Macaca fascicularis: one gene and its partner. The protein of the gene in region 1 interacts with the protein of each later gene in a biochemical or structural test. Links are inferred from orthologs where the notes say so. Each region holds a gene or a part of one and is shown on either strand. Other genes may lie near its edges. The genes, in order: AKAP1 and MYCBP.

Region 1 (3,806 bases):
TTCAAGCCTGCAGGATGGCAATCCAGTTCCGTTCGCTCTTCCCCTTGGCATTGCCTGGGATGCTGGCACTTCTCGGCTGGTGGTGGTTTTTCTCTCGTAAAAAAGGCCACGTCAGCAGCCATGATGAGCAGGTGGAGGCTGGTGCTGTGCAGCTGAGGGCTGACTCTGCCATCAAAGAACCTCTTCCCATGGAAGACGTCTGTCCCGAAGTGGTGTCCATGCCCCCCAGCGTCACAGAGCCGCCAGAAAAGGAACTGTCCACCATGAGCAAGCTGCCTGCAGAGCCACCAGCATTGCTCCGGGCACACCCACCTCGCCGAAGATCAGAGTCCTCGGGCAGTCTTCCTAATACCATAGACATGAGATTGCGACCAGGAACATGCAGAGACAACAGTGCAAAGCTGGAGCTAGCCCTGACAGGTGGTGAAACCAAATTGATTCCTCTAGAGTGCCCCCTTTCATCTCCAAAGGGTGTACTATTCCCCCACAAATCAGCTGAGGTGTGTAAGCAAGAGTCCCCGTTCAGTAGGGTGCCAGGAAGGGGCCAGCCAGGCTACCCTGCAGCGCCCCCAGAGAAGCATGGCTCTGGGGAGAGGGCAAGAGAGACAGGTGGGGCCGAAGGGACCGGTGATGCTGTGTTGGGGGAAAAGGTGCTTGAAGAAGATCTATTGTCTCAGGAGCATGTCTTGGAATTGGAGAACAGCAAGGCCCCCAACCTAGCCTCTTTAGAAGGGGAAGAAGAGAAGGGGAAGAGCAGCTCATCCCAGGTGGGGCCGGTGCAGGAGGAAGAGTATGTAGCAGAGAAGTTGCCAAGTAGGTTCATCAAGTCGGCTCACACAGAGCTGCCAAAGGACGATGCGGCACCAGCACCCCCAATCACAGATGCCAAAGCCCAGGACAGAGATGTCGAGGGAGAACTGGGCAATGAGGAGAGCTTGGATAGAAATGAGGAGAACTTGGATAGAAATGAGGAGAGCTTGGATAGAAATGAGGAGGGTCTGGATAGAAATGAGGAGGGCTTGGATAGAAATGGGGAGGGCTTGGATAGAAATGAGGAGATTGAGCAGGCTGCCTTCCAGATAATCTCCCAAGTGATCTCGGAAGCAACCGAACAGGTGCTGGCCACCGCGGTGGGCAAGGTTACAGGTTGTGTGTATCAGGCCAGTCAGCTCCAAGGGCAGGAGGAAGAGAGCTGTGTCCCAGTTCACCAGCAAACTGTCTTGGGCTCCGACACTGGGGAACCTGCCACAGCAGAGGCAGCTGCTGCCCTGTCGGATGCTGCCCTCCCCTCGCCAGGCCTACCAGCAGAGGGCTCAGCACCACCAAAGACCTACGTGAGCTGCCTGAACAGCCCTCTGTCCAGCCCCATCAAGGACAGTAAACCAAAGATCTCTGCACACCACATCTCCTTGACCCCCTGCCTGCCACCGACCACTCCTGGTGAAGAGTCGCCGGACCGGGCGGGCATCCTGGTGGAAGATGCCACATGTGTCACTTGCATGTCAGACAGCAGCCAAAGTGTCCCTTTGGTGGCTTCCCCAGGACACTGCTCGGATTCTCTCAGCACTTCAGGGCTTGAAGACTCTTGCACAGAGACCAGCTCAAGCCCTAGAGACAAGGCCATCACGCCGCCACTGCCAGAAAGTACTGTGCCCTTCAGCAATGGGGTACTGAAGGGGGAGTTGTCAGACTTGGGGGCTGAGGATGGATGGACCATGGATGTGGAAGCAGATCATTCAGGAGGTAGGAGGGTCTCGGGTTCATTTAGAGGATGGGGCGCTCCCAGTATTTCTTGGAGAAAGGCCGCCAGTCTGCCTCTCCCTTCTGCTACTTGTGCAGCAAAGTCATGGTGCCCTTCAGCTCTTTGTCCCAACCTGCAGAGAGCTGGACACGGCATAAAGCTGGTGGGTAACTGAGCAGTTAGATTGCCCTGAAACCCCAAGCCTTGGGAGCTGTCACTTGGTTCCTCAGCCGGTGACCTTCCCCAGTGAGCCCTTCCCAAGGAACCAGCTCCAAGTTGGGCTCACTGATTAACATTAGTGTGCCTTTTTTTCTTTTTTTAAAAAAATTATTATTTGGGTGCAGATGGAGTCTTCCTGTGTTGCCCAGGCTGGTCTCGCACTCCTGGGCTCAAGTGATCCTTCCGCCCTCGGCCTCCCAGAGGGCTAGGATTATAGGTGTGAGCCACCATGCCCAGCCCATTTTTTTCTTTTTTAAACACTAACCTCTGTGTGTGTGTGTGTGTGTGTGTGTGTGTGTGTGTGTGTGTGTGTTTTAATGGAGAGGTCTCCTTAGCTTTCCCTCCCTTGAGTGCCAAGTATGGGTGTGAGTGTTTTGAATGGTTTATTTCCTTTTAATCATGTGCTTGTTCCCATGTCTTCACCTGCTTTCCTTCTCCAGAAGCTCTTACAGGGTAAGTGCCCAAAGAATGGCCACAGCTTTAAATACTTGTGGGAGGCTCGAGCTTCCTGAGTTGTCGCTGTCACCTTTGCAGAGAGCCTCAGCCATTTTCTTTCTGTGCAGTTGCAGCTCCACCCCGGGAAAGCGGGGCACTTTGATAACGAGGTGTCCTGGGTTTTTCGAGTGCTGACCCCAGCGTAGACAGTTCAGACCGCTAACTTACAGGTCAGCAGCTCCTGACCCTGCTTCTGCAGCCGCCCCGGGGTGTTTTCATTTATCTCATGGAGAGAGGCCACGAGTATCCCAGTGCCTCTCTGACGTTTGTCCTGGAGCCATTCCCTCCCATTTCAGCTCCAGGAAGGTTGGGAATCTTGATCGGGAATTTTACTACTTTCGGCAGCATCTCGTTTGTACCACACACTACGTTTTGTCACCTCCAAGATGCTGTTGCGACACTACTGTTTTTATGTACCTTGGAAGGACAAAAGTGCTGCCAGTCATGATTATAGAAGGCCAGATACTATATGATGCATCCTAATCTCTGGATGTTTAAATGTTTCTTAAAATATTGCATCTTAAAATGGGTGTTTTTTGTTTTATTTATTTTTTAAGAATAAAGGAGTTTCCCTTTGCTTACTGCCCCTCGGCTGAATTAACAAGCCCCACAGCCTTGTCTGCCTACTCTAGATGGATAGTAGTAGCTACTCAGACCTGTTGAGTTTAGGCTTGAACCTAAGCCATGGTGATGGGCAGGGAGGTTTAGAGATGGCGGGTGGAAATGAGGTAATACTGTCCACGAGCATGCAGTGGGTGCCAAGCACCAGGGTAGTGCCTCGCATGCACCCTCATGTCAGCTCTGCTTTGTGTGTGAGAAAGTTGAAGCTGAGAGGGGTCCAGGGACCACCCTACTGAGGGAGCTGGCAGCTGGCCTTGGAGTGCAGCCTGCTAGAGTCCTGGTGTGGTTCTGAGCCACTGCTGGGCGCCATCGAGATGGCAGGTGTTAGCCAGTCCCATTCTGTGGGACAGAGGCTGGGGGCTGTGAGTGAGCAGAGCTCCCCGCCCCCTTCCCCAACCCCTGTCAGCCTGTTATGCTTCCCTAGCCAAGCAGTCTTCCCCTAGAAGGGGTACTTTTCCCTGCATGAATCCTGTTCCAAGCGCCTAGGTTAAGGGGGGATGTCACTTTGAAGGTGATTCTTCCTTAGCTGGGAGCAGGATCTCTTGGGCCTTAGTTCTCTGCATCCAGTGTATGGGTTACTTGGCAAAGGATTATGCCCAGGGTTTGGAGAAACCATGTGGAAGGTAACCTAGTTGGTAGACTCTCAGGAGTGATCTCTTTCTGGTGATTGAGTCATCCATATTTAAGCCAGGGCCACTTCTCTTGAGCTGATCTGGACCCTCTTTTTTGT
Region 2 (4,435 bases), on another chromosome or scaffold:
GAGGCAGTCACCCCAAACAGCTTTCTCCTTGCCAGCTAACTGCGATTGGAAACCGCGGTGGCTTAGAGCTACATGGGGTTCCTCTACAGAACATGAAAACCAGGGGTCACCTCCTAAAGGTAACCTCAAAGGCCAGTTCAGAAAGGGCATAGTCAGAACCCTTCCTCCTTCACAAGGAAAGTCTCAATCACTTGACATTCCAAACACAGCTGATTCTTTGGGAGGGCTGTCCTTTGAGCTAGGGTTGGTCAGAACCTGTAATAATCCTGTGTGTCCTCCAAATCACGTAGTGTCCCTAACGAACAATCTCATTGGTAGGCGGGTTCCCACAGATCTTCAGATCTAGACAGCGGTTGGCTTTTAGACATTGTATATATTATCAGAGAAGTAGCCTAGTGGTGGTGGGGCACGGACAAAATAGATATGGGCAGCTCTAAAGACCAGCTGTTAAGACAGACGGCAAACTCATTTCAGCAAGGGAAAAACAGCTCTAATTCTAGATTGTGAAAGAACACTTCTAAATCCAAAGACATAAGGTTGTCAAATCAGGATTTTTTTTTTTTTTAATGATATTCTTTCGAATGTGTGTAACTGATTTTGGGAATATCACATGTTCAGAACTGGGGCTAAATGGTTTGATCAGGTTTTCTCTTTGAAGAGACCACAGCCTTAGGACACGGTTCTTCATCTACATAATTCCACCTTGGACACTGGGTTAATTTTGTTTGCCCCTGAAACACAATCACGTAGTTTCCTTCTAGACTGCATCCTGATATGTCTCGAGTATAATCACATGTTGCTACCTAGTAAATAAAATCTTAAAAAGATCCGTGGCTTTCTTTCACCAGTTCATAGCATCGTGATTCATTGCCCGGATTGGACTCGGCTCTACTCACTGGACATCTAACCTCTCCACTTAATTAACAGTACGCACCCTACAAGGGTGTTGTGAGGATTAAAATTTAAAATACCCGTGTTTTCTACAGTGCCTGGCGCACAGCGCTCAAAAGCTATTGCAAGCTCGTTACTGCTCATTCTCCAGAAGCCCACATCAAGTCAGCCACGACTCAAGGAGACTCCAAAGATAAAAGCTGGAACCAAAATACATGATTCTAAACACCCTCCTCAGCTACTGCAAAGTCGTGAGCACTTTCTCAGGAAGAGAGCCAAAAAGTCCAGCACCTATGGGTCACCACAGTTTCCGAGGTCCCAGATGAGAAAAATGAGCTCGCTACCACCGTGCGGCGATCCTTCCTCTCGCAATAGTCCCAGTGCTCCCGGGCCCTGCCTCCGGACGCCAGTACAGAGTTACCAAAATCTCACCTCTTGCAAAGAAAACGAATCGCTACGGGGACCGGAAGAGGAAGAGGTGCGGCTCCAACAGCCAGAGGGGCGGGCATACGCAGCCTCCCTCGGCTCAGCCTGCAACGGGGGATGCAGAGCGTCCTGGTCGCCATGAAAACAGGCCACACCCCGGCGATCCCTGCCCGTGGTTCGCAAGTGCGCAGCCGCGCGCCCCCTTCCGCGCATGAGCAGTTCTGCTCCCAACCCGCCAGTCGCGGTCTCCGGCGCCAGCTACGCCGCTGCCGCTGTCACTATGGCCCATTACAAAGTGAGGGGGGCGCGGCGTGGCTGGGGGCATGCGGGCGGTAGCAAGCCGTTGGTCGGCTCTGGGTGGGAGTGGGGTCGCGCGCGCAGGTTTGGGCGGGAGGGCCCCGAGGTAGCGAGGCGGAGGCGGGGTTGCCAGACTCCTAGCACCTTCTTCCTGCTCGGCTCCCGGGCTCTGGCCACTGACCCCCGGTGTCTCTTCAGGCCGCCGACTCGAAGCGTGAGCAGTTCCGGAGGTACTTGGAGAAGTCGGGGGTGCTGGACACGCTGACCAAGGGTGAGCCTGGGCTAGGAGAGGGTACCTCGTGCCCTCGTCGTGCTCCCCGGCGCTGCCCCTTTCCCCAGCGGGCCGTAGCGTGGGGAAGGAGGGGAAACAGATGGGGCCCGTCCGGGGTCCAGCGAGGTGGGCCTCGGGGTTCGGTAGGGACCTGGCTGCTGGAGGCCGCCCGGGTGAGGTAGCCTAGCTACGCTACCCTTCTCTGCACTGGGAGTGAAACTCTTGCAGCTGTTGCAAAGTCTCTTCAACTTCCGTTGCTTTGCCTCGAGCAGCCGCAGTGGACATGTTTGCCAAAGACCTTCAGATCCCAATTCCTCCCACCTTACGGTTTTTGTGGAGTCCTCAGAATCTTGTTAAGAAACAGTTTCCCTCCAACAAAGAGCAACTGGAAAAATGACCGAATTTCAAAGTGGGCTATGAAATAGTTGAGTGAGCCTAATCCCCGAAGTAGGAGATGCATGGCCAATTTGGCTGTGGCTTTTCAGCCCCCATTCCTTAGTCTGTGTCAATTTTTATTTTGTGTATATTTCATAGTTAAAGTAGAATTACAGTTTAAAGAGCTCGAGGGCATATCAAAATGGTTACATTGTTTTCACTTTTTAAAATGAAAACTTACTGTTAACGCTGTATCTCTTCATTCGTGGCTTCGAGATCTAAGTAAGTAGATGAGTAAAGTGTCGGAAACAGGAGGATTCCAAGGGGTAGGGTACAGTTTACTTCATTAGCTTAACAGTAATTTAAATGCCTGCTATGTCACTTAACTCACTGGGATTTTCAAGGGTGTAGAATGGAATTGTTGGCAGGGATCAGGACTTGGGTCAAACTAGGAAGTTTGGGAAGTGTGGGAAATAAGTAGGTAACTGCTCTTTGGACAGAAGCAAAGTTTAGAGGAAAATTCTAGGAGCATAACTCCTGGGTCTTAGCAGAAAGCAGGCTAGTAATTTTGAATTGTTACCTATTTGGGGTTCAGATAATAGTTTACCTCTTTGCAAATAAACTTCAGCAAGTATTAAGGGACTACTCTGAAAGTACTGTGCTATGTTGTCTCTGGAAGTGTCACAGATGCTTTGAATGTCATTCCCTCTAAAAACTCCATAAGTTCATTTCTTTCATTTAATCATTTTACTCAGGCATCTGTTCTGCACACTGGAGATAAGCAGAGGAGGATAAAAGTCTCGGCTCTCATAAGCTTATGTCCTAGTTGAGGGAGACAAATACATAAATACCTAGTGTCAGCTAGAGGTAAGTGTTACAGATAAAAATACAGCAGAAGTTAGGGATAAAGAGTAACAGGTGAGGCCAGGCACGTGGCTCATGCCTGTAGTCTTAGCACTTTGGGAGGCTGAGGTGGGTGGACTGCTAGAGCCCAGGAGTTCAAGAGCAGTCTGGGCAACATGGCAAAACTCCCGTCTCTTAAAAGAAAAAATTGCTGGGCATGGTGTGTGCCTGTAATTTAGCTACTCTGGAGGCTGAGGTGAGAGAATCACTTGAACCCAAGAGGTCAAGGGTCCAGTGAGTTGTGATTGTGCCCCTGGGCAACAGTGACACTCTTTCTCAAAAAAAAAAAAACAAGTGACAGGTGGGATGTGTGTGTCATTTTATATAGGGTGGTGGGGGGAAGGCCTTTCTTAAGTACTTTTGAGCAGAAACCTGAAAGAAACAATATCTGTCAAGAGTTTCAGGAAGTATAAGGAGGCCAGAGTGGTTGGATGGAGCAAGCGAAAGATTGAATGGTAAAAGGCAGAAAAATGACAGTTGTAGGAGGTAACTGACTACACAGAAGATGTTGCCCAAGCTGGAGTGCAGCGGCATGATCTCAGCTGACTGCAGCCTCCACCTCCGGGTTCAAGCGATTGTCCTGCCTTAGCCTCCCAAGTAGCTGGGACTACAGGCATGCGCCACCATGCTCAGCTAATTTTTTGTATTTTTAGTAGAGACGAGGTTTCACCAGGTGGGCCAGGCTGGTCTTGAACTCCTTACCTTGCCTCAGCCCCTCAAAGTGCTGGGATTACAAGTGTGAGCCATCGCGCCTGGCCTCCACTAGAATTTAACCTTTTAATCTCCTTAGATTTCCAGGCTCCTAAATAACATCAGCCAACACAGTATTGACGTGATTTATTAAAAATTTGATTTTCAGCTTCAAACACAGGTGCTTTATACAATTCTATTTGTTTTTACTTTTTATTTTTTTTTGAGACAATCTCACTCTGTCACCTAGGAATGCCTGGCCTCAAGTGATCCTCCTGTCTTAGCTTCCCCAAGTGTTGATGTTATAGGCATGACCCACTGTGCCCAGCCTCACAAATTTAATTTACATATATATATATTTTTTTGAGACAAGGTCTCTGTCGCCCAGACTGGAGTGCAGTGGTGCAGTCACGTCTCACTGCAGTCTTAATCTCCCAGGTTCAAGCAATTCTTCCACCTCAGACACCCAAGTAGCTGGGACTACAGGCATGCACCACCATGCCCAGCTAATTTTTAATTTTTTTTTTTTTTTTTTGAGACGGAGTCTCGCTCTGTCACCCAGGCTGGAGTGCAGTGGTTCTG

The links.
Region 2: the proteins of AKAP1 (region 1) and MYCBP form a complex in vitro, tested with the Homo sapiens proteins (2 studies listed by BioGRID). The link is inferred for Macaca fascicularis from reciprocal best matches to the Homo sapiens genes AKAP1 and MYCBP.

What each region holds. Positions count from the first base shown.
Region 1 is NC_088390.1:49,610,504-49,614,309, reverse strand, and holds part of AKAP1 (A-kinase anchor protein 1, mitochondrial), read left to right. Parts: 5' UTR 1-14; coding exon 15-1,743; intron 1,744-2,523; exon of another isoform or gene 2,524-2,625; intron 2,626-3,806.
Region 2 is NC_088375.1:196,053,743-196,058,177, forward strand, and holds the start of MYCBP (C-Myc-binding protein), read left to right. Parts: upstream 1-1,526; 5' UTR 1,527-1,528; coding exon 1,529-1,612; intron 1,613-1,812; coding exon 1,813-1,885; intron 1,886-4,435. Other genes in the region: GJA9 (gap junction alpha-9 protein), read left to right, coding at 1-346. UniProt on the Homo sapiens protein: May control the transcriptional activity of MYC. Stimulates the activation of E box-dependent transcription by MYC.